Linked DNA regions of Callithrix jacchus. The protein of the gene in region 1 interacts with the protein of each later gene in a biochemical or structural test. Links are inferred from orthologs where the notes say so. Each region holds a gene or a part of one and is shown in the gene's direction. Other genes may lie near its edges. The genes, in order: ESR1, CDKN1A, FOXO1, AHR, PRMT2, SRC and TBP.

Region 1 (3,500 bases):
GGCAAGGCAACAGTCCCTGGCCATCTTCCAGCACCTTTGTAATGCATATGAGCTCGGGAGACCAGTACTTAAAGTTGGAGGCCCGGGAGCGCGGGAGCTGGCGGAGGGCGTTGGTCCCGGGACTGCACTTGCTCCCATCGGGTCGCCAGACTCCACCGGACCCTCCGGCTCCCGGGGCAGGGCCGGGGCCCGAGCTCGAGTCGCGTCTCGGCAGGACATGCGCTGCGCCGCCTCTAACCGCGGGCTGTGCTCTTTTTCCAGGTGGCCCAACGGCTTCTGAGCCTTCAGCACTGCGGGGATCCGATCTGCGCCCTGCCGGCGGCCTCGGACCATGACCATGACCCTTCACACCAAAGCGTCCGGGATGGCCCTTCTGCACCAGATCCAGGGGAACGAGCTGGAGCCCCTGAATCGTCCGCAGCTCAAGATCCCCCTGGAGCGGCCCCTGGGCGAGGTGTACGTGGACAGCGGCAAGCCCGCCGTGTACAACTACCCCGAGGGCGCCGCCTACGAGTTCAACGCCGCGGCCGCCGCCAACGCGCAGGTCTATGGCCAGTCTGGCCTCCCTTATGGCCCCGGGTCCGAGGCGGCGGCGTTCGGCTCCAACGGCCTGGGGGGGTTCCCCACACTCAACAGCGTGTCTCCGAGCCCGCTGATGCTGCTGCACCCGCCGCCGCAGCTGTCGCCCTTCCTGCAGCCCCACGGCCAGCAGGTGCCCTACTACCTGGAGAACGAGCCCAGCGGCTACACGGTGCGCGAGGCCGGCCCGCCGGCGTTCTACAGGTACCCGCGCCCGCGCCGCCCGTCGTCGGGGTGGCCGCCGCGCCCGGCGGGAGGGAGGGAGCCGGGGGAGCCGGGGGAGCCGAGGGAGCCGCGGGACGCGCGACCCGAGGGCGCGCTCAGGGAACCCGGGGCGTGCAGCTCGCCCGGGGGTTCTGCGTGCAGCCCGCGATGCGTTCAGAGCCAAGTTCTCTCGCAGGGCAGCTGAAAAAAACGCGCTCTCCACCCATCTACAGTCGGTGCGAGAGGCAGACCTGAACGCCCGGGGCTTCCTAACTAAACACACGTTGGAAAACCAGACAAAGCAGCAGTTATTTGTGGGGGAAAACACCTCCAGGCAAATAAACATGAGGTGCCTTGAGTCACTTGGGAAGGTCCCGCGCTTGGCATTTAAAGCTGGGGTTGTTTGGAGTTAGCGGAGCTCAGCGGAGTTTTATTTAGCCTTTTAATGTTTTTGTTTAATGTGGCCCCCAAATTTCCTTTCATTTAGAGTCTTTGATTGGAAATTTGTCTGCTGTGATGACTTTCTGGGAAGCGATTCCCCTCCTCCCCACCCCACGTCCTGGGGTTTTAGAAAGCGATTGGGAGTTGAATGGGTCACAGCAAGTTTCTGATTTCAGAGTTAGCTGTCTGAGTCCGCGCTGGAGCCGGTGGCTGGCATGTGACTTCTGACAGCCGGAAATTTGTAGGTGTCCCGCGATTTTAAAATTAGCCGTATGGAAGCACGAATGCTTAAAAATAATCTCCCGGCAGCCCAGGGACGAGCCTGTCCCATCTGGGGAGAATACCCCGGAGTGTCCTACGGGGTCAGCGGGGTCTGCGCCTCGCAGCCACTGTGGAAGGAGCGCGGCCGGTCCAGGACATGGGAGAACACTTTGTGACTTCGATGTGAAGGTTTTGTATACTCCTTTTAATTTTTTTTTCCAACAAGAGTTGTTCTGTCTCCCTCTCCCATTCCTCCCATTTTCCCTTGTCCAGTTTCTCCTTTTTTTTTTTTTTTTTTTTTCCTGATGGGCCTGCAGAGGGATTAGGTGGGTGTTTCCGGTGAACACCTGCCTAGGTGGCCACAGGACAGGTGTACCCTGGACTGGGTTTGGGAGCTTCAGGGCACCACATGGCTGGTGCAGAATTAGGCATTTCCCAACTGTACACTGGTGTCTGGACTGGTGTCCCCACATCTTTCTGCTTTGTAAGCTGTGGACCATTTTTTGTTCAGTGTTCTATTTCCAGGGATCTTTATAGCAGAAGGATCTTAGAAGGGGACTAAGGTGCAGGTTGGTCCCAGAAGGTGCTGAAGGGCAGATTCTGGGGGTTTCCAGCGTGCATCTTCAGCCACTTTAGAGGAATTTAGAACATCCCACAGCCACACAGGTTCAAGCTGTCTTTACATAAAAGACAAACAATGAACAAAACTTTTAAAAGTTGGCGTATTTCAAATTAATTTTACTTCTTTTAATTTAGGATTAAAATAGAGAGAAAGGATTTCTTCTGCCCACCTTTTTTTTAAATGGAAGAATAAAATACAGCTATTAAGTCTAATTCCACACAACATTCTAAACTCCTTGATGTGAAGGAAGGCATTGGTATGATGTGAATTCCATAACCTTATGATGGAATCCAGAAACCATTTTTTCCTATTTAATTTTCAGTTCTTTTATTGCAAATTAATGCCACTGAATTTCAATGGGCACTAATGAGACTGCTCCTTGGTGGATTATTTACTGCCTTGCTAATAATTACGAAGTGAATCTGGTCAAATACAGAGGGGATCACATCTTTTTCAAAATTGTTCATCATCCCAGTGATAAGCAGTATCAGTGTAATATGCCCTATCTTACATTTTTTTTTGCATCAAATGATATTCAGATACTCTTAGAATAATAAAAAAGACAAGGAACTTAAAAGTTTAAAAAAAAACTTACAAAAATAGGACTCTGTGTGGAAATTCAGTTTTAGAAATTTTCAGTTTTTCCTGTGTTTTGTTTCCTGGAAAGTCTTTCCTCTGTTGTTAGAATTCTGCCTCTTATTAACCAGCAAGGAAAAGAAGGATCTATGCAATTCTTCATAAGGACAGATGTTATTTAGCATTTTTCCCCTCTTAGTTTTTCTGCTTAAGTAACTCTGAGTGTAAAGGAAAGGATCGGTTAGCCTCTTTTAGGGAACTTTACGTTTCTTAAGTAGTTATCAAAAGTTTTGAGACTGAAAGCAGTATTTTCAAACTGCTTGTCATGACCCAGAGGGTCATGAAACCAGTTTAGTGAGTCTAGGATATTCTTTTAAAAGGAATAAAACAGAAAGGAATATAATAGAAAATATCAGAATGTGTGGTATTTAGTAAGGATAAGTTTTGTTTCCTGAAAATCTGTTTTAATTATACATGCTTCTGTGTGCTGATTGTGATGTAAAATGTATTTCTTACTGTGGATTGAATTCAAAGAAAAAGAGAGCTAATGGCCTAAAATATTATATATTCAGTGGAAAATAAAAAATCAGGCAACTGTATAGTTGTTTTTATCTATACAAACCAAAATGCTATTTTGATTATTCTTATTTTTACCTTACAAATTAGGCTGGTGCCTTTAGTCAGTTCGGCTAAGCTTTACTATGTGATTCTTAGCTTTTTTATTTGTACTGTCCTCCTGAGTGTCATACTGGATGTTCAGAGAATTTACGTGCGGGTCACATCATTTAGCTTTGAGATGCTATGGTTACTTTCTTCC
Region 2 (3,135 bases), about 110 Mb from region 1:
TAGAGATAGGGTCTCTCTGTGTTGCTCAGGCTGGTCTTGAACCCCTGGGCTCAAATGATTCCCCCACCTTAGCCTCCCAGAGTATTAGATTACAGGTGTGAGCCACTGCCCCTGGCCTCCCCAACTGATTCTGATGGGACTCTCTGGTTAAGAAACCTCAAAATTAGAGAGGGAGTAGGTTCAATACTAGAGCACAGGACTCAGGGCAAACAGGCCTGTGTTCAGATCCTGACTCTGCCATTTATGAACTGTGTGACACTGGACAAGTTGCTTAACTTCTCTGAGCCTTTGTTACCTCTGCTGTAAAAAGGGAGCAAATAGCTATTCACTTTTTAGAGGATTGACATTTTTAAACTGCTTAGAACAGCCCCCATACATGAAAATATACAAATGAATCCCAACTCATGCCTAGGAGAGGGTAGACAGAGGTTCCTTGAGGGCTCTGTCCACTGTACTGTGTGACTCCTTTATGGGGCAGTGGCCTTTGGCCTTTTTAGCTGTATGACTTGGGGGCAAGTCTCGTATCTCTTCCATCTCCTGCCCTTTAAACTTGGTGTGAGGTTACCAAGCACCTCCTCTCCCAACCAGCTGGGACGTGAAACTGATCACAAGCAGTGGGGTGAGGTGGGATGGAGCAGATGTGGCATGTGTCCCAGGCTTCCTGCCTCAGGAACACTCAGCAGAGATTTCACCCCCTAGAGCCTGCAAGTTGGGACTTGTCCCTAGGAAAACCCAGTTGCTGCCAAGGTCGTGCAGTCCCTCAGTCCTGGAGTCAAGCCAGAGCGGGCAGCTAGGTGCCAGGGCTCCCTCATTGGCAAACTCACCCTTGGTTTTCCCTCTCCTGAAGTGGGAGGAGAGGAGCCAGGTAGATCAGCCACCTTTAATTTTCTTTGTCTGCAAAACGAGTTCCTTGGACACAGGCAGCACCGGGCAGGGGCTGCCAGGTGTCTAGACTTCAGATCACCTGATGTGCCTGGCAGGATGTGGCTCAGCCTGGGAGAAATTATCTTCTGCCCCGCCCTGCCCAGCCCCGCCCAGCCCCTCCTTACCCCTAGGCCACCCGCCTGATGACATCCTTGGGAAAGGGCTTCAGCCTACAGCACCTGTCAGCTGCTGTCTGAAGGGGATCATTGGCAGGGGGAAGTGATAGGGAGGAGGCTCAGTAAAACTGAAGGCAGACAGAAATAATCACACTTCCATTTTCCAAGCACTTCTGTATATGAAGTGCTGCTGGCACCTTACCTACATTAACTCAGTTAATCCTCACATCTATCCTCTGAGACAGTCACCATTACTATCTCCATTTCACAGATGAGGAAAATAGAGCTCAGACAAGTTAAGTTGCTTGTCCAGGGTCATTTAGTAAAACCTGGACTTCAACCCAGGCGATCTGGCTCCAGAGCCTTTCCGCTTAGCCCCCAAGATACAGCCTTTCATTCAGCTCTGTTCCATCTGCCTTGCTGGGTGGACTCCCCAATCAATTGCTTGAGTATGTGTCCACAGCCATGCTCTTTTTTTTTTTTTTTTTTGAGACAGAGTTTTGCTCTTGTTGCCGAGGCTGGAGTGCAATGGCACGATTTTGGCTCACCACAACCTTCGCCTCCTGGATTTGAGAGATTCTCCTGGCTCAGCCTCCTGAGTAGCTGGGATTAGAGGCATGTGCCACCACACCCAGCTTATTTTGTATTTTTAGTAGAGATGGCATTTCTCCATGTTTGTCAGGCTGATCTCAAACTCTGGACCTCAGGTGATCCGCCCACCTTGGCCTCCCAAAGTGCTGGGATTACAGGCGTGAGCCACCATGCCCAGCCCAGCCATGCTCTTTAAACTTGCACATGGCCCCCTTTATGGGTGAGGAAACTGAGACCTAGAGACAGTAAGTGGCTTTTTAAAACTTAGGTAGTAAGTGGCAGAGCTAGGACCACAACCCAGGTGCTTTTTGCCCCAGAGTCCAGGGTACTTTTACTCGGCTGAGTAGGGTTACCCTACTCGGGCATCTGGGTGGGGGTTCAGGAGGCTGGAGGAACTGTCAGACTGTTTATTTGGGAACTGACCTCCTGGCCAGGGCTGGGATTCAGAAACTGCTGGACTCTGGCAATTCACACGTATTTGGGGGCATTCACACCCATGAGGGACACCTCGGGGGGAAAACAAATTGATTTTAGCTGATAATACCTGGTGGTAAACAGGACCCTGATCCTCGCTTTTGCAATAAACTTGACTTTGTTGACATTAGCTTGCCCTTCAGCTGCCTGCTCCCCCAGTGACCTTGGGGTGACAGGCTGGCTGAGCTCTGCTGGTGGGGGTCAGGCCTCCTGTGAGATGGAGGCAGGAAGACCAGCTGGAAGGAGTCAGAGAGACCCTGTGGTAGGAAGACCTCATGAGGTGGCACAGCAAAGCCCAGCCAGGTAGTGTAGTGTCCAGTTTCCGCGGTGACCAGGGCCTTCCTTGTGTCTCTGCTGCAGGCACCATGTCAGAACAGGCTGGGGATGTCCGTCCGAACCCATCCAGCAGCAAGGCCCGCCGCTGCCTCTTCGGCCCAGTGGACAGCGAGCAGCTGAGACGCGACTGTGATGCACTGATGGCAGGCTGCATCAAGGAGGCCCGTGAGCGATGGAACTTCGACTTTGTCACTGAGACACCACTGGAGGGTGACTTCGCCTGGGAGCGTGTGTGGGGCCTTGGCCTGCCCAAGATCTGCCTTCCCAAAGGGCCCCTGGGAGGAGGCAGGCGGCCTGGCACCTCGCCTGCTCTGCTGCAGGGGACAGCGGAGGAAGACCACGTGGACCTGTCGCTGTCTTGCACCCTAATGCCTCACTCAGGGGAGCGGCCTGAGGAGTCCCCAGGTGGACCTGGAGACTCTGAGGGTCGAAAACGGCGGCAGACCAGCATGACAGGTGAGGACAGGTGCAGGGAAGGACATTGTAAGGGACCAGGATTCTCAGAGTCCATGGTCCAAGGGCTGACCTGTCCGGTCCTGGTCTAGTGTGCTCCTTAGGTAGAAGGGAACAGACCCAGAGGTCACACAGCAAGTAGGCAGCCAAGACCAACTAGCTAACATTGGTGGGGACCTTATATTATGCCAGGCCTTTTGCCAGGCTTCTAAGGTAGATTTATTTAGTCCTTATGCAATGT
Region 3 (4,216 bases), on another chromosome or scaffold:
CTGTCCTTTTGGGCAAGATATTAAAAACCTTACTGTCCATCTTCTATTCTGAGTGGTCCCATCCCTCTAAAAGGAAATGCCTTCCATATTCTTCCTAAAAAAGCAAAGGCATAACAAAACAAAACTGGAAAACTGTTTCTTCTGCTCCCTGAGACACAAGGGCCATTATCTTCCTACCTTTGGCCCCACTGATCCTTGACAGGATGTCCTGGACCTGCAGCCCAGATGAGGAAAGATGGGGTGTGGGTGGGGGTTTGACTGACGCACACAGCAAGTAGCCTCAAGAACTTGGGGGTGGGGCAGGCTGCGCCCCAAGGCTTTGGTCCTATCCCCCGCCCCCCCCCGCCGTTTTTACTTAACACCCGATCACTTCCGTTGTAAATATAAAATAACAAACAGTTAAATTTAATTAGGGGTAGGTAGTAAAGTGTCTTGGTTCTCGATAACTGCGTTCCTAAGCCCTTCGCTGCGGGCCCTGAACTCAGTGGACGAAGCTGGAAGTTCCCGCCCAGGGGAAGAAGTTCCCACGGAGGGCAGGCGGTTGCGGGTGCCTTTGGATCCCTGTCTGCACTGAGACCGGAGTACCTCCTCCGGGCGCCGGAGTCCCAGTTCCTCACGTTTAGCCCTTTAAAAAAGGTCAAGGATACAGTAAATCCGGCTGGGGGCTGCTCGGCTGGGCGACGCGTCCGCAGCTAGACAGAAAGGCACAGGCTGAGCCCGGGGGTGCGGACAGGTGGGCGCGGGGCGCGGAGAAGGCACCCTAGGCGCGGACTCCACCGCGGGGGGCCGCGGCGCCTGGGGCGGGGGGCGCGTGCCGCCCGTGCGGGGGCCGGAGGACTTGACAGATCGCAGCGAAAGAAAACATTCAACCAAAACAAAACCCAGCGATTCCCCACGTTGCTCAGCAAAGACTTCGTGGGTGGAGCCAGGAGGGAGCTACTGGGTAGAATTCTGCGCGGCCGCCTCCGCCCGTCCACCCCGCGCCCCCGGCCCCCGGCCCTGCCCGCTCGCGGGACTCGGCCCGCAGCCGAGGTCAGGGCGTAGCGAGCGCCTCGTCCCACCCGGGCTTCCAGAGTACTCGGCTCTGCAGCTCCGTAGTAAACAAAGTGTCGCCGCCACCTCCACGCTGGTTTGCTTCCTAGCAATCAAAACACTGAGAAGGCGAGAGAATCACAGAAACACTCGAGAATTACCAGAAAATAACAGAGATCCAAAAAAAATAAAAAAGGTGTGTGAAAGAGAAAAACACCCCGCTACCCCCACCAGCCCACTGCCGCCTCCCGGCGGAAAACCGGGCCCCGCCCAGCCCGGAGCGCACTGGCTGCCCGGGCGGCGGTGCCGCGTGCCCATTGGCTGCGCGAACTGTCGGTCAGGGGCGGGCCGGCGCGCGCGTCGCCGCGGGCGGGGGGCGGCGGCAGATCCCGTAAGTCGGGCGGCCTCGTAGTTGCTGCAGCCGCCGCCGCCGCCGCCGCCACATTCAACAGGCAGCAGCGCAGCGGGCGCGCCGCCGGGCAAAGCGAGCGGCCGCGGCGTCCGTCCGTCCTTCCGTCCGCGGCCCTGTCAGCGGGAGCGCGGCGCAGGCTGTGCCCCGGCTCGGCGGCTCCGGCCCGCCGTCCAGTCCGTGCGGCAGACCCCGAGGAGCCTGGATGTGGATGGCCCCGCGAAGTTAAGTTCTGGGCTCGCGCCTGCACCCCGCCGCGCCTTCCTCCCAGTGTCCGTCCGCTCGGCGCACCGGCTTCGTCCCCCCAAATCCCGGACCGTCTCTTCGCGCCCCCTCGCCCTCTGCCCCCGGTGCTGCGCTCTTCCCCTCTCGGCTCTCTCGCGGCTGGGGGAGGGGCGGGGGTCACCATGGCCGAAGCGCCCCAGGTGGTGGAGATCGACCCGGACTTCGAGCCGCTGCCCCGGCCGCGCTCGTGCACCTGGCCGCTGCCCAGGCCGGAGTTTAGCCAGTCCAGTTCGGCCACCTCCAGCCCGGCGCCGTCGGGCGGCGCGGCTGCCAATCCCGACGCCGCGGCGGGCCTGCCCTCGGCCTCGGCGGCCGCTGTCAGCGCTGAGTTCATGAGCAACCTGAGCCTGCTGGAGGAGAACGAGGACTTCCCGCAGGCGCCCGGCTCCGTGGCGGCGGCGGTGGCGGCGGCTGCCGTGGCCGCCGCCGGGGGACTGTGCGGGGACTTCCAGGGCCCGGAGGCGGGCTGCCTGCACCCAGCGCCGCCGCAGCCCCCGCCGCCCGGGCCGCTGCCGCAGCACCCACCAGTGCCCCCCGCCGCCGCCGGGCCGCTCGCGGGACAGCCGCGCAAGAGCAGCTCGTCCCGCCGCAACGCGTGGGGCAACCTGTCCTACGCTGACCTCATCACCAAGGCCATCGAGAGTTCGGCGGAGAAGCGGCTCACGCTGTCGCAGATCTACGAGTGGATGGTCAAGAGCGTGCCCTACTTCAAGGATAAGGGTGACAGCAACAGCTCCGCGGGCTGGAAGGTGAGCGGCCTCGGCGCGCGGCCGGACCTTGGGGGCGCGGTGGGGCAGGCGAGGGCGCAGCTGTGCAGGTTTGCTCGGCCCGAGGGTGCGGGGCAGGAGGGCAGCGCGTGCCTAGGAGGGCGGGCGCGAATCGGTGGTCGCAGTGGGCTCGCCCGGGTCCGTCCGGGACCGCAGTAGGTGTGCGCGCGCGCCAGAGTCCGCGTGGGACGCGGACAGGGGTTCGTTGGGGAACTAAGTAAAGAACGTGCGTCAAGAAGTGGACGTCAGAGCGGCCGAAAAGTTTGCCAGTGAAAGGAGAAAGGGGTTCGCTGGGAGCGGCACCCCCACGGCCCGCGCTGACTGCTTCGGCTGCCCCTTCCCTCCTTGACCTCCGCGGGGCGAGGGCGGGTCCTCTCCCGCCGCGCCGCGAGGCTGTTTCCGCCGGGCGCGGCGGGGGAGGGCACGGAAAGGGTCCCCGGAGCCTCCCTGCCCCGGGACGGGGCTGCAGGTGGAGGGGACTGGCAGAGCGCGATCGGCTGGGGACGGTGTAAGTCCGGCCACGCAGTTTCGGGAGGCGGTGCGCATTTTGCTTTGTTTTGGTTTTCTCCGGAGTGGCCTCGAGTTCAGGGGGCCGGGCGTCCCGATCCCGAGGTGGCGCCTCCGACACGTGCGAAGGGGCGGCCACCGCCTGCGGAGCGCCGGCGCCCGGCCGCGCGGGGCGAGCTAAAGTTCAAGTGTGACCCTCGGCGGGGGCGGGCGCGGGCGGTGACGAGGGAGGGGCTCTGGGCGCAGGAAGCTAGTGCCTTTAAAGGGCCAGCGCGTCCGGGTCGGGCGCCTTGGGGCCCGCGCTTCCCCATGGGGGAAGCGCCCGAATCTGGTCTTGCCCCTGGTACGAGGCTTTTAGTTAGAAACACAGAGGCTGCCCTGGGGTGCCGGGGGCTGGGATGTGTGCGTCTTTTCCTGCCTTGCTCTACCCTATTCTTGAGCGGGGAGGTCCAGATGGGGGAGCTGGGGGCCAGACGAGGGGCTTTGCGACCAGTGTTTTGACGGAGTCGGAGTGGCGGTGCGCGTTGAGGGAGCGGAGCCTGGAAGGAGGATTTTTGCCTTTCAGAACGTGGCCAGGAGGCACTTCAGCGTGGGGGCAGGCACTTACCGACTCCGAGGAGGGCCTCGGCTAGGTCCGGGGAGGCTTCCCGGGGGCGAGGTCCAGTCGCCGCGCGGCCTCCCCAAGCTGACAGTTTCTCACTGTCACCGGTGGCAGAACTGCTGTAAAGGCTGACTAGTTGAGTAAACACTGTTTTTTGAGACGGAGTCTCGCTCTGTCGCCAGGCTGGAGTGCAGTGGTGCGATCTTGGCTCACTGCAACCTCCGACTCCCTGGTTCACGCGATTCTCTGCCTCAGCCTTCCGAGTAGCCGGGATTACAGGCAGGAACCACCACGCCCAGCTAATTTTTGTATTTTTAGTAGAGACGGCGTTTTACCATGTTGACCAGAATGGTCTCGATCTCCTGACTTCGTGATCCGCCCACCTCGGCCTCCCAAAATGTTGGGGATAACAGGCGTGAGCCACTGCGCCCGGCCGAGCTAAACACCTTTTAAAACAAACTTTCCTCGCCTCTCTTGTCGACTGTATAGCATAATAAAGATTGGTGTTTGCTGCGCAGTTGTTAAACCAAGGTTATTTTACATAGTGTCGTCCCTGTGGTTAAAGCGTGTCAAAAAGGTTAAGTTACTCACACCGTATTGAAGCTCCTGGAGGAG
Region 4 (3,500 bases), on another chromosome or scaffold:
GTCTGCTCATTATTATTTTCTTCCTTCTACCTTCTTTGAGTATAATATATAATTTTTTCTAACTTTTAAAAATATATATACTTAAACATTATATCAGTTTCCCTTTAAGTACAACACTTAAACTACAACCCTCATCTTTTGCTGTCTTATTTTTATTATTTAATTGAAAATACTGGCTAATTTTCTTTTCATTTGATTTTTATTAGTGAATTATTTATAAATACGGTGTTACTCTACTTTTTGATGTTTGGGGATTTTTCTAGTTGCCTTTTTGTGATTGACTTTTAGTTTAATTCCATTGTAGTCAGAAAACATTCCCTGAGTGGACTTCAGGTTTTTTGAAATTTGTGGTGGCTTATTTTATAATCTAACACATGGTCTGTGTTGGTAAAATATCCCATGTAATCCTGTAAAGAATACATGTTCTGTCTTTTGGGAGTTCATATGTCCATACATGTGTTGATATTTTGTGTGCTTCTGTTATAAGACATGTTTGTTGTTTCATTTATTTATTACTAATGAGGGAGGGTATCTTGTTACATCTTTCTAGGACACTTTTCTTTTTTGAATTACAAGTTTGTATTATCATTTACCTGTTTTTCTTGAGTTGCTTGACTCTCTCTTAGACTCTATTGGAGCTTTTTACCTATTATAGATATGAAATTTTATATATATATTATAAATACATTATATATGTTAAAAATATTTTCTTTATGCCTTAAGAATTCTCTTGCAAAAATACAAACACTTTAATTAATACTAAATAATTTTCATATTACCAAGTATACCAGTAATGTCTTTATAGTTTCTGGGTTTTACTAGAGAGGTTAGTTGTTTCAGATTCTTAAATTTCTAATTCATAAACTTTTTAATTTTGTTTTGAGATGGGATCTTACTCTATCACCTAGGCTGGAATGCAGTGGCACAAATATGGCTCATTAAGGTTAGGGTTAGGGTTAACCTCCAGGCTCAGGCAATCCTCCTGCCTCAGCTTCACCAGTAGCCAATACTGTAGGCATGTGCCACCATGCCCAGCTAACTTTTATTATTTTGCAGAGGTAGGGGTCTCACCATGTTGCCCAGGTTGGTTTCAAAATCTTGGGCTCAACAAATCGCACACATCTGCCTCCCAAAGTGCTGCAATTACAGGCATGTACCACCACACCTGGCCCCTAAATTCTTATAGTCTGTTTTTATGTGTAGATCTTTATTCCACACAAACTTATTTTTTCTACAGGATGTCAGGTAGGGATATAACCTGACCATGGAATTAACTAAGTTAATTTTTAACAATTAAATTATTTAAACATGCTTGTCTGAAAAACAATTTTATGGCACTACTCATGAGAATAATTGAGGTGAAAATAAAATATGTCCCCTTCTGAATTCAATTATGTATTTTGCTTGTTTTTCTTTTTGTAATTATATTTATTTTTAAATGTTTATGATATAATTTTTATTAAGACTTTTTTATACACAATTTTAGAGATGAGGAAGGAAATGAGCATTTACGAAAACGAAATACGAAGTTGCCTTTTATGTTTACCACTGGAGAAGCTGTATTGTATGAAGTAACCAACCCTTTTCCTGCCATAATGGATCCCTTACCACTAAGGACTAAAAATGGCACGAGTGGAAAAGATTCTGCTACCAAATCAACTCTAAACAAGGAGTGTCTCAATCCTAGTTCCCTCCTGGCTGCCATGATGCAACAAGATGAGTCTATTTATCTCTATCCTGCTTCAAGTACTTCATGTACTGCACCTTTTGACAACAATTTTTTTAATGAATCTATGAATGAATGCAGAAATTGGCAAGATAATACTGCATCAATGGGAAATGATACTATCCTGAAACATGAGCAAATTGACCAGTCTCAGGATGTAAACTCATTTGCTGGAGGTCACCCAGGGCTCTTTCAAGATAGTAAAAACACTGACTTATACAGCATTATGAAAAACCTAGGCATTGATCTTGAAGACATCAAACACATGCAGAATGAAAAATTTTTCAGAAATGATTTTTCTGGTGAGGTTGACTTCAGAGACATTGACTTAACAGATGAAATCCTGACATATATCCAAGATTCTTTAAATAAGTCTGCCTTCGTACCTTCAGATTACCAACAGCAACAGTCACTGGCCCTGAACTCAAGCTGTATGGTACAGGAACACCTACAGCTAGAACAGCAACAGCAGCAACAGCATCACCAGAAGCAAGTAGTAGTGGAGCCACAGCAACAACTGTGTCAGAAAATGAAGCATATGCAAGTCAATGGCATGTTTGCAAACTGGAACTCTACCCAATTTGTGCCTTTCAGTTGTCCTCAGCAAGACCTCCAACAGTATAATGTCTTTTCAGACGTACATGGGATCAATCAAGAGTTTCCCTACAAATCTGAGATTGATCCTATGCCTTATACACAGAACTTTATTTCCTGTAATCAGTCTGTATTACCACAACATTCCAAATGTACAGAGTTGGACTATCCTATGGGGAGTTTTGAACCATCCCCATACTCCACTACTTCTAGTTTAGAACAATTTGTCACTTGTTTACAAGTTCCTGAAAACCAACACCATGGATTAAATCCACAGTCAGCCATAGTAACCCCTCAGACATGTTATGCTGGGTCTGTGTCGATGTATCAGTGCCAGCCAGAACCTCAGCACACCCATGTGGGTCAGATGCAGTACAGTCCAGTACTGCCAGGTCAACAGGCATTTTTAAACAAGGTAAGGGTATTAACAAACTGAATGAATCTTTCAGTGATTCTTGTCACCGTATAAATAGACATGTTACACATTTTTTATGTCCGCTGATTTTAATCTATTATCTACAGCATTCATGGAGACAGCATTTTTCATTATATCTGTGACTACCTTTTTTTTCATAAGCCTGTACTTTTTCCAGTATGTTACTAATACATCACTCACCTGAGTCATGAGGGAGAAAGGTGTCAAGGGCTAAAGCAACATAAATGTGTCCTTAATGTAAGATGACCTAAATTAGCAAGTGAAATTAGTTTTTAAAAGTATTACATTTAAAATGGGTAATTTGGTTGATTCTTTCTGGATTCTTTAAAAATTATATGGCTTTTTAAAAATTCAAACTTTATAAACATATTGCAATTTTTAAGAATAGTTTCTTCCCGGCTCTATTTTTTTGGATGTGTTTGAAATTGAGTTAGACTCAAATGTAAGTGTGCTTTCTTATAATGCCTTTGTCCTAGATTATATCCCTGGAATTAAGTCCTAGGCCTCCATGTTCTCTAGCTATTCCTCACATTACCTGCCCTATCTTCATTTTATCCTTTAAGGCAGAATTGCTTTGTTTCTTTTCTGGCTTTCTTAAAAGAGGTAACTCAGCTAGCTTTCTGTCATGGAAATCAAGCTTGACAGTATATTTTTATTGTTTAAATGTGTCATCAGAATCCTTCTAGCAGTGAATACACTTTAAATCTAAAAATGATCACTTAAATAAAAAAAAGGTAACAGAAA
Region 5 (3,500 bases), on another chromosome or scaffold:
TCATATTATTTGTCCATTTCTTTTGATTTTTGTTGATTCATATGTTAAGTAATTTAGCCTGAATTTGTGAATTTTTGTGACTTTGTGAATTTTTTCCCCCACAGAACATTTTTCTTTGTATAGCCGAATAGGTTGTTCTTTCCTTTGTGAAAAACCTTTCCTCGCCGTAAGATTATAAATACCCACACCTTTTTTGATTCTGTGTTATTTTATTTTTACTTTTTATGTTTTTTAGGGATGGGGTCACTTTGTTAAGTCATAGCTTACTGTGGGTTCCTGGATTAGGGGATCCTGTCACCTCAGCTTCCCAAAGTGCGGGGATTATAGGGGTGAGGCACCCCACCTGGCCTTATCCTCTTTTAAACAATGAGATTTTAAATCAATCTTGAATTTATTTGTTATAAAAAATATAATGTAAAATTCCACCCTTATTTATGCCCACAAATATCCAGCCACCCCAGCCTCCGTTACTGGACGGTTCCTTCCCACTGATGTGAAATGCTGTGTTTGTGGTGCTCTGGATGTCAGGGGTCTGCTTGAGAATTCCTGTTGACTCACTGGTCTGTTTACTTCTCTGCGGCGCCCGGTGCTTCATCATTGCACCTTTGTAGGATCTGCAAGAGCTAGGTCTCCAGCAGTCCCCCCCGCACTTTTTTTAAAAAGCATTCTCCTCATTAGCCTTGGGCACTTCTTGTTTTGAAACTGTTTTTATTGTCATTTTGTTGTGCTTCCTCCTCCATGCAGATTGGCTGGCATTTTAGTAGGCACTGCATGGAATGTTGATGTTAATTTTGGGAGAAATGACGTGTCTATAACGTTGACTCTCAGTTTCCTGTTAGTTAAGCTTTGTTTAATATCTCTTAGCATTTTAAGGTTTGTCTCATACACGGTTGTGCACCTTTCTTGTTAAATCTATTCGTAGACATTTTTTATTATGACTGTTACAAGGGGTTGGGTGAAGTGTCAGGCCTTCCACAGTCTTACTGATTTTTCTATTTCTGTCAGTTACTGAGAGCGCAGTGTTGAAATCTCTGACGATAATTGTGAATTTGTCTGTTTCTTCTTGCATCTGTATTGGATTTGCTGTGTGTATTCTGAAGACCTGTTATTAGGTACAGAAGTATTTAGAATAATCACGTGCTCTGGGTGAATTGATTCTGTGTTGACGTGTTGCTCTGAACTGGGTTCTGTTGGTGCTGACGCAGCTGCTCCTGCTCTGTCTTCATGGGTGTTGGCACCATAGGCCTCTCCCATCCTTTGCTTCCGGGCAGGAGAATTGGGCCTTGCTTTGTGGTCTATGCCCCCCACCTCCTCCTGCCGGTCCCTTTGTTTTTTATTCTGCAGAGTCTTGGGAGGCTCCATGGTGAGCTCTGAGGACCTTGTGCAGGCTCCTGTCTGCTGGCTGTCCTCACTCTGAGGACCTTGTGCAGGCTCCTGGTCTGGGCGCTGTCCTCACTCTGCTCCCGCCTGCTACCTGTCTTCTTCCTGGTGATGCTGTTTCTAGGCTGGGCCTTCTGTAGCTTGAGAGTCTTGGTGGGAGGGGTGCAGCCTTACCTGCAGCCCATGGCTTTTCAGGCTGCCCTGAGCAAGCCTCTCTCTGCCTCCTTGCGGGATGGCTGATTCTCATGTGAGTATCCTTGGGTTTCAGGCATTTTTCTCCCTCAGGAAATGGCTGGGCCTCTCGCTTATCCCTCAGGACATGAGGGGCAAGTTCATGGACAGAGGACTTTGGGGGACCCCCTGCCCACCTGCGCTGGCGTTTCTCCCATGGCGTATCCGCAGTTTTCTCTAGTCAGACACCTGGCACTGGGGAGTCTGGTTGGGTTGCGGTGGTCCCTCCTGCCTCAGGTGGGCATGGGTGGTCCAGGCGACATTGCACCCCTATGTGCAGCGGTCCCTCTTGCCTCTCTGCTTGCCGGCCATGCTGTGCTGAGCTGAGGGACTCACAGGCCTGTATTTTTGCTCTTTTCAGATGGGGTGGCAGGGTCAAGCGTCATCAGCTGTGGCCCTGACCCTCATCTCAGTCAGGACTCGGCATGGCTCTGGGTCAAGGCAGTGATTCTGAATGTGCATTTCTCCCAGAAACTGCACTTGGAAATGTTGGCAGACCAGCCGCGCACAACTAAGTACCACAGTGTCATCCTGCAGAACAAGGAGTCCCTGACGGACAAGGTCATCCTGGACGTCGGCTGTGGCACTGGGATCATCAGTCTTTTCTGCGCACATTATGCACGGCCTAAAGTGGTGAGTGGGGTCTCCAGCTTGTCCCAGGTGTGCGTCAAGGCCGGTGATGTCCGACATGGCCTCTGAGATGCCGACTCGTGACCCTGTGCTGTTGGGGGCTCACTGGTGACTACGTCCTTGCACGTGGGGCTCAGGGTCGGTAAAACAGCAGTGTTGAGACTCCATGCTAGAGGCTGTGGCGCCGGCATAAAGAGCCACAAACAGCATGGACAGGAACAGGGCAGAATAGAAAATATCCCATGAATTGCATGGGGCAGGGTATGTTCTGTGAGACATTTATTTCAGTTGAGTAGAGAAACAGGTGCACCCACATGTCTGTGCTTGGCCTTGGCTGTGGACAGCCTCATGGGGATGTGATGAATCCACATGCTGGCCCCCTTCCTACCCTTCTTTGGCCATCTGTGCTGTGCTAGCTGAGCCAAACAGCAGCCTTGGAGGCTCCTGACATGGTGGGTGGGATCTCAGCACAGTGACCACCCAGGGCCATGCTCTGCAGGACCCAGCGCTTGGGCGCTTCCCACCAGACCCTTCCCTATGAACCTGGGTTTGAAACTGTCTCACAGGCCTCAGATGTGGCACAGACCAGCACTGTCACTTGGGTGCTCAGCACTCGCTGTGCCAGTCATGGATTAAGCTTGCTGTGTGTGTGGCAGCCAGCCCGGGCATTCGAGTCTTCAGGCCACCTGCAGCCCTGCGTCTGCGTCTTGTGTAGGAGGTAGGGGCAGTCGGGAGGGTTAGAGGTGGCACCTTTCTAGGTATCCCGGAGGGGCAGGTGTGGCCCAGCCCTCGCTGTCTCCGGCTGTCTGGAATGCTGCTTCCCTGTTGTGTTGTTGACCGTTTCTCATGGTGCTGGTGGTGTTGACTCAGGAGAGAGTGGATGACGGGCCCCATGCAGGCCGGGCATGCACTGATGGTGCTTCTGCTGCAGGTGTACGCGGTGGAGGCCAGCGAGATGGCACAGCACACGGGGCAGCTGGTCCTGCAGAATGGCTTCGCCGACATCATCACTGTGTTCCAGCAGAAGGTGGAGGATGTGGTGCTCCCTGAGAAGGTGGATGTGCTGGTGTCCGAGTGGATGGGGACCTGCCTGCTGGTGAGGGCGGGCGTGCGGGCAGCGGGGGGCCGGGGTTCGGGGGGCTTCTGAGCACAGGCTTGGCTGGGCCAACCTCAGGATCTCAAGAGTGACACGTGATTCATTTTGATTTTTTCCCCTAATGTGAGGTATGATTAATTTCTTGTGTGGACATTGGCTCAGT
Region 6 (3,500 bases), on another chromosome or scaffold:
AGTTACCCTGGTGAAGTGGCCAGGGAAGAGCATTTGGGCAGTGGGAACCACATGTGCGAAAGTCTTGTGGCTGCAGTGATCTTCCAGCCATCTCTCCTTCAAACCTGCCGCTATATGGCCACTTTTAGCACCTTTCCTCAGCGTCGGACACATATTTATTCAACGAATCCTCAGTGAGCCCCCTCCATGTGCTAGGTGCCTGGGACACAGGTGTGGGTCAGATACTGTCCCTGACCAGGAGAAAGGGAAACAGTGACTCAGGGAGAGGTGGGTGGGTAAGGTCAGGGCTTCTGATTATGAGGCATTTCTTCCGTTCCTGGCCCTGGATGGAGGAAGCCCTTTATGGATGGATGCCATCCTTAAGCTCATTTTACAGATGAAGATACTGAGGTTCTGAGAGGCCAACTCATCCAAAGAGGCTGGTGCCCACCGCCTTTTTTTTCTTTTTCTTTTTATCTTCCTTTCTTCCCTTTTCTCTTTTCTTTTCTTTCTTGACGGAGTCTTGCTCTGTTGCCCAAGCTGGAGTGCACTGGGAGGATCTTGGCTCACTGCAGCCTCCGTCCCAGGTTCAAGCAATTCTCCTGCCTCAGCCTCCTGAGTAGCTGGGACTACAGGTTCGTGCCACCATGCCCGGCTAGTTTTTGTATTTTTAGTAGAGACAAGGTTTCTGCATGTTGGCCAGGCTGGTCTTGAACTCTAGACCTCAAGTAATCTGCCCACCTCGGCCTCCCAAAGTGCTGGGATTACAGGCGTGAGCCACCGCGCCTGGCCCTGGTGCCCCTCTTTGGGCCTCGTTTTCCCCAGCTGTGGATTGGGTGGGAGGGAGGCCGGCCAAGGGGTCCCGGCAGCCCTGCCTGTCCTAGCGTCTCCTCCACTCCAGGGTCCCCTCTCTCTCCAGCCAGGACCATGGGCAGCAACAAGAGCAAGCCCAAGGATGCCAGCCAGCGGCGCCGCAGCCTGGAGCCCTCCGAGAACGCGCACGGAGCCGGCGGGGGCGCTTTCCCCGCTTCGCAGACCCCCAGCAAGCCAGCCTCGGCCGACGGCCACCGCGGTCCCAGCGCGGCCTTCGCCCCCGCGGCCGCCGAGCCCAAGCTGTTCGGAGGCTTCAACTCCTCGGACACCGTCACCTCCCCGCAGAGGGCGGGCCCGCTGGCCGGTCAGTGCGCGGGCGGCGCAGGGTCCTCGCCCTGCTGGGCCACAGCGGGGCGGCGGCGGCGGCGGCGGGGCGGCGTGCCCGGGATCGCCCCCTCTGTGCGGGCCCTTCTTCCCGCCAGGAGGCTCGCCCCTGGGTGACCTGGGTGTGCCGGGAGGGCCGTGCCCACAGCGAGTTCCCCAGCGCCGCCGCCGCCGCCTTTGGGGTGGAGTAGGCGCAGAGGACGCGGGGACTGGTGGTGGTGTCTTAGTGGGACGTTGAGGCCCAGAGAGGGGGGCGGCGCGGGGACCGGGCCTGAGGCTGCTGCCTGGCGCCCAGGCCTTTTTCGTTGCCCGGGTCCGCCCAGAGGCCCAGAGATGAGTAGGGAAGTGCGACCTGCGTGCGGCGGAGGGGCCGCAGGATTGCTCGGGGAACCGGGCGCCGGCGGCCCGGGTTGGGCCCGCGCCAGGATGCATGCGCCTGTGCGCCCTCTGCTGGCGGTCTGCGGGCACGGCAGCCCCCGTCGAGGGCCGTTTGGAGAGCCGCGTCTGTGGCCCAGACACTCCACGCAGGCTTCACTCAGACCGGTGCACTCTCCCCACACGCTCACACGCGTCTGCACCCCTGCCCCGGACACGCACACGTGCGGAGTGGAGGCAGGGTCACAGACACTCGCAGATACATACCCAAAGCAGACGTACCCAGACGCAAACTCACATGCATAGGTGACCTCACGCTCCTAGAGGAAGACAGACGTACATGCCGTCAGACGCTCATTCAGAGACACACACAGGACACAGACAGGCGCAGCTGGAAATCACCATCGTGGCCGCGCAGACGACAGATGCACACATGTGCATTGAGAACATGCAGGCATGCAGAGACACACTGACAGCCCTGGACCCCTCAGACGCATGCCCAAGTGAGACAGACCCACAGACACACCATTCATTTGTTCAAGTTTAGGTGGAGCCCGACTACGAGCCAGGTCTCCTCTGCTGCCCGGGACCCAGCAGTGCAGACAGAACCCACATGGGGGAGGGAAGCAAAGGGCAGGTGTGCAGGCTGTGCAGGGTGTTAGAAGTGGTGCTGCCGCAAAGGTGCAAAACGGGCAGGGAGGGAGGGAGGACTGGGGGATGTGTGGAGGTGAAGGCTGTAGCTTAAAATGGAGGCATGGGGGGGCTTTTTGAGGGGGCAGTTACTAGGAGCCAAATCTTCCTGGACACCCAGGAGTGCCCAGAGTGACAAGCTTGAGCGAGAGAGCAAGCTTCCCTGGTGCAGTGGTCTTCATTCACTGCTGCATCCAGCCCACAGCTCTCTCTTGAGCACCTACTATGTGCTTGACTCTGGGAACAAAACAGAGATGCTTGCTATTGGGTACTTCTGGTCCTAGAGCAAGACAGGCACCAAACAGATAAGCCAGCACCTAGCACTGCCCAAAGCCCCTGGGGTGCATGCAGACAGGGAGGGACTCTCATGCCCCCACAGGGCCTTGCAGGGATTCGCAGACACACGGATGCGGTGGACACGTGCACAGGTCCATCCTCACTGAACGCGACCGTGTCTTTGGGCTGGGCACTTGTGGCGTGTGGGAGACAAACCCCCACTCCTGGGCTCAGGACCCTCCTGTCCACGCCTTGCCTGGCCGTGGCCCCACTGTTCTGACGTACCCCACCCCTCTCTGCAGGTGGAGTGACCACCTTTGTGGCCCTCTATGACTATGAGTCTAGGACGGAGACAGACCTGTCCTTCAAGAAAGGCGAGCGGCTCCAGATCGTCAACAACACGTGAGTGGCCCCTTCCCCATTGCCCCTCAGGGCTGGGTGCTGGAACCTGAAAGCTGGTGGGGGCTGATGCAGAATCTGCCATCGGGGCAGCGCAGTGCAGAGCCCAGGGCAGCACGGAGGGAGCCAGGCACCTGCTGCTCTCCTGCCCTGGGCAGCACCTGCTGTCTCCCCAGCCTCGGGAAACTCCTCCCAATCCCTGGCTCTCGCTTGCTCTCTCCAGCCCTCTCTCAGCTTCTCCCTCTCTCTGCTTCTCTCTTGCTGGCCCTTAGGAGGAAGGTGGATGTCAGGTGTGTACGTGCTCCGTGGGTGGCGGGCTGGGTGGGTGCTTCTCAGGGGGCGGGGCCGCTGTCTGCATGTGCTTCCTCTCCCTGCCTGTGGTCTCCGGCTCTCTGGCTGCTCCTCACCTCCCAGCTTCTCCTCTCTCCACCACCAGTGTGACCAGGTCCTGGACCGTAACCCCAGGCTGTGATCAGGGGCCCCTCCATTGCGCTCTGCTGCACACTTCCTCCCATCCCCCTCCCTACTCACCCACCCTTCCATTCTGCCCCATCAGCCCACCCAAATGTCTGCTGCATGCAGGC
Region 7 (2,639 bases), about 19 Mb from region 1:
CACTTGAGGTCAGGAGTTCAAGAGCAGCCTGGCCAACATGGTGAAACCTGTGTCTACTGAAAATACAAAATTAGCTGGACGTGGTGGTACACACCTGTAATCCCAGCTACACGGGAGGTTAAAGCAGGAGAATCACTTAAAACTAGGAGGAGATTCTTAATTCTTATAATTCTTAATATATATACCCCCACACACACCAATAGTCCATTCAGTCAGACAGCTTAATCAGGTATAAGTTAATTCACAGACTAGTATATCACTTTGGTTAAATTTCCTGACCACAGTTAACAGCTAGAGAATATTTCAATTTAAGGAGGTGAGATATGATTAACAGTTAAACTGTCAGTATCAGATCTTAGAAGTAAATGATTATTAGGACTGTAAAAGTAAATGATTGTCATCAGAGACTGCAGACATAAATACAGGGCTCTTTTTCTTAAATCAGAAAATCCAGATTGAATAGAAATAGAGTAAAGTATAAAAGGACAAATAGCCTCCCATCCAGTGGTTATCAAGTGATGACTGCAAGTCGGCCTCAGTGGCTTTAATTATTCTGTCCTTGATGTTGCTTGAAGAACTGTGCTTTACCTATTGACTAGTTTGTTTGTTTATTCAGTTATTTTTCCTTGTACAGGTCCTCATTTTATCTAAAAGCATGGAAGTCTCTTAATTTCTAAACTGTTTTCACAATTTTCCTTCCAGTTATGAGCCTGAGTTATTTCCTGGTTTAATCTACAGAATGATCAAACCCAGAATTGTTCTTCTTATTTTTGTTTCTGGAAAAGTTGTATTAACAGGTAAGTTGTAACAGAAAGTGGTATCTGAATGTTTGTAAGTTATGGCATTTTGTCAGTGCTGAAAATAAATTTCCCTGTTGGCACAGTGGGCTAGCTTCTTTTACAAAGGCCTCCCACCCAAAGTCTGATGAGAAACATGCCCACTAGAGCCACATTGAGAGCAGGGAAGTCTGACCACAGCCCTGCAAGTAGACTTCATTTACAGCGGGAGGTGAGCACTGTATTGAATAAAAGATGGCGTTTTCACTTGGAATTAGTTATCTGAAGCTTTAGGATTCTTCAGCAATATGATGACAAGACAAGAAAGGAAGATTCAGAAAAGAGCTTAGTTGAAGACAGCAATTGGGAGAATAAGATTTGGTTGTTTTCATTGCTGTTCTGCTTGGTTTATGGCCTGGTTCAGGACCAAGGAGAGAAGTATGAGGACATGCCTCTTGAGCTATAGAATGAGACACTAGAATCACTAAAATGACTGTTTAAAAGTACTGTTTTATAAACCAAAATAAGATTGTGACAGGCGATTCCACCATTAGTGGTTTCATGCCTGTGCCTGAATCTGACTGGGTATGTTGAGATTTGTGCTTGCAGCGTTGTTTAAAGGTAATAATTTTCCCTGCTTAATATGTTAAGAAATGCCATTTCAGTCTCTTATCTCTACTCCAACTTGTCTTCTTAGGTGCTAAAGTCAGAGCAGAAATTTATGAAGCATTTGAAAACATCTACCCTATTCTAAAGGGGTTCAGGAAAACGACGTAATGGTTGTCATCTACCCTTACCTCCCCCACCCACTTGTTTTTTTAAAACAAATCAGTTTGTTTTGGTACCTTTACATGGTGGTGGTGTGAGGAGATGGATGCTGAGTTGCAGGTTGTGGCACCAGGTGATGCCCTTCTGTAAGTGCCCACCACGGGATGCCGGGAAGGGGCATTATTTGTGCACTGAGAACACCGCGCAGCATGACTGTGAGTCGCTCATACTGTGCTGCTATTTGGGCAGCGCTGCCCATTTATTTATACATAGATTTTAAACACTGCTGTTGACAGTTGGTTTGAGGGACAAAACTTTTAAGGTTAAAGCCACCTCTACAATTGATTGGACTTTTTAATTTTAATGTTTTTCCCCATGAACCACAGTTTTTATATTTCTACCAGAAAAGTAAAAATCTTTTTAAAAAGTGTTGTTTTCTAATTTATAACTCCTAGGGGTTATTTCTGTGCCAGACACATTCCGCCTCTCCAGTATTGCAGGACAGAATACATGTGTTAATGAAAATGAATGGCTGTACATATTTTTTCTTCCTTCAGAGTACTCTGTACAATAAATGCAGTTTATGAAAGTGTTAGATTGCTGTTATGATACCTTGTAAGAGTCATGTGATCACACTGTTTTCTAAAAAGTTGTATTTTAGATATAACATCTGAAGCCATTTTGGTGTTTGCTTGTTTGTTTGAGTCAATATTTCATTGTATGCTGCAATGAAAACACAGTAATGATCTAAGAACTCACAGTTGCTCAGGAAATGTGTATTTACTGCCTTCCATATTTTGAGCAACTGTTGTTTTCTAGGTACTTTGCATACAGTGCCGGGAATCCTCACAAAGCTGCAGTTAGGTTTTGTTCCTGTATTAGAGGTGAGGAGATACAGGCCCCAGCTGAGGGACCTGGCTGAAGTTACACAGCTAGTAAGTGGTACAGATGGGCTCTGAGTGAGTCCTTCAGGTGTGGAAGCTGCTGTCCTATCCACAGGTTGCCATCTCTCTGCAGTAACAGTTTGTTTTTGTTTTTTTTCTCATGGAATATCAGGTGGACATGTGTGGGTTCTTAGGTTTTATTGTTAGGGTG

The links.
Region 2: the proteins of ESR1 (region 1) and CDKN1A form a complex in vitro, tested with the Homo sapiens proteins (2 studies listed by BioGRID). The link is inferred for Callithrix jacchus from reciprocal best matches to the Homo sapiens genes ESR1 and CDKN1A.
Region 3: the proteins of ESR1 (region 1) and FOXO1 form a complex in vitro, tested with the Homo sapiens proteins (2 studies listed by BioGRID). The link is inferred for Callithrix jacchus from reciprocal best matches to the Homo sapiens genes ESR1 and FOXO1.
Region 4: the proteins of ESR1 (region 1) and AHR form a complex in vitro, tested with the Homo sapiens proteins (4 studies listed by BioGRID, with this or other methods). The link is inferred for Callithrix jacchus from reciprocal best matches to the Homo sapiens genes ESR1 and AHR.
Region 5: the proteins of ESR1 (region 1) and PRMT2 form a complex in vitro, tested with the Homo sapiens proteins (2 studies listed by BioGRID and IntAct). The link is inferred for Callithrix jacchus from reciprocal best matches to the Homo sapiens genes ESR1 and PRMT2.
Region 6: the proteins of ESR1 (region 1) and SRC form a complex in vitro, tested with the Homo sapiens proteins (3 studies listed by BioGRID). The link is inferred for Callithrix jacchus from reciprocal best matches to the Homo sapiens genes ESR1 and SRC.
Region 7: the proteins of ESR1 (region 1) and TBP form a complex in vitro, tested with the Homo sapiens proteins (2 studies listed by BioGRID). The link is inferred for Callithrix jacchus from reciprocal best matches to the Homo sapiens genes ESR1 and TBP.

The regions. Positions count from the first base shown.
Region 1 is NC_133505.1:158,660,676-158,664,175, forward strand, and holds part of ESR1 (estrogen receptor), read left to right. Parts: intron 1-261; 5' UTR 262-331; coding exon 332-783; intron 784-3,500.
Region 2 is NC_133505.1:44,985,176-44,988,310, forward strand, and holds part of CDKN1A (cyclin-dependent kinase inhibitor 1), read left to right. Parts: intron 1-2,465; coding exon of another isoform or gene 2,466-2,470; coding exon 2,471-2,897; intron 2,898-3,135. UniProt on the Homo sapiens protein: Plays an important role in controlling cell cycle progression and DNA damage-induced G2 arrest. Involved in p53/TP53 mediated inhibition of cellular proliferation in response to DNA damage.
Region 3 is NC_133506.1:159,848,055-159,852,270, reverse strand, and holds the start of FOXO1 (forkhead box protein O1), read left to right. Parts: upstream 1-1,416; 5' UTR 1,417-1,848; coding exon 1,849-2,475; intron 2,476-4,216. UniProt on the Homo sapiens protein: Transcription factor that is the main target of insulin signaling and regulates metabolic homeostasis in response to oxidative stress.
Region 4 is NC_133512.1:41,104,486-41,107,985, reverse strand, and holds part of AHR (aryl hydrocarbon receptor), read left to right. Parts: intron 1-1,486; coding exon 1,487-2,735; intron 2,736-3,500. UniProt on the Homo sapiens protein: Ligand-activated transcription factor that enables cells to adapt to changing conditions by sensing compounds from the environment, diet, microbiome and cellular metabolism, and which plays important roles in development, immunity and cancer.
Region 5 is NC_133522.1:52,221,362-52,224,861, forward strand, and holds part of PRMT2 (protein arginine N-methyltransferase 2), read left to right. Parts: intron 1-2,082; coding exon 2,083-2,244; intron 2,245-3,172; coding exon 3,173-3,337; intron 3,338-3,500. UniProt on the Homo sapiens protein: Arginine methyltransferase that methylates the guanidino nitrogens of arginyl residues in proteins such as STAT3, FBL, histone H4. Acts as a coactivator (with NCOA2) of the androgen receptor (AR)-mediated transactivation.
Region 6 is NC_133506.1:32,821,717-32,825,216, forward strand, and holds part of SRC (proto-oncogene tyrosine-protein kinase Src), read left to right. Parts: 5' UTR 1-614; intron 615-898; 5' UTR 899-906; coding exon 907-1,156; intron 1,157-2,818; exon of another isoform or gene 2,819-2,819; coding exon 2,820-2,919; intron 2,920-3,139; coding exon of another isoform or gene 3,140-3,188; coding exon 3,189-3,206; intron 3,207-3,500. UniProt on the Homo sapiens protein: Non-receptor protein tyrosine kinase which is activated following engagement of many different classes of cellular receptors including immune response receptors, integrins and other adhesion receptors, receptor protein tyrosine kinases, G protein-coupled receptors as well as cytokine receptors.
Region 7 is NC_133505.1:177,196,179-177,198,817, forward strand, and holds the end of TBP (TATA-box-binding protein), read left to right. Parts: intron 1-702; coding exon 703-797; intron 798-1,473; coding exon 1,474-1,553; 3' UTR 1,554-2,139; downstream 2,140-2,639. UniProt on the Homo sapiens protein: The TFIID basal transcription factor complex plays a major role in the initiation of RNA polymerase II (Pol II)-dependent transcription.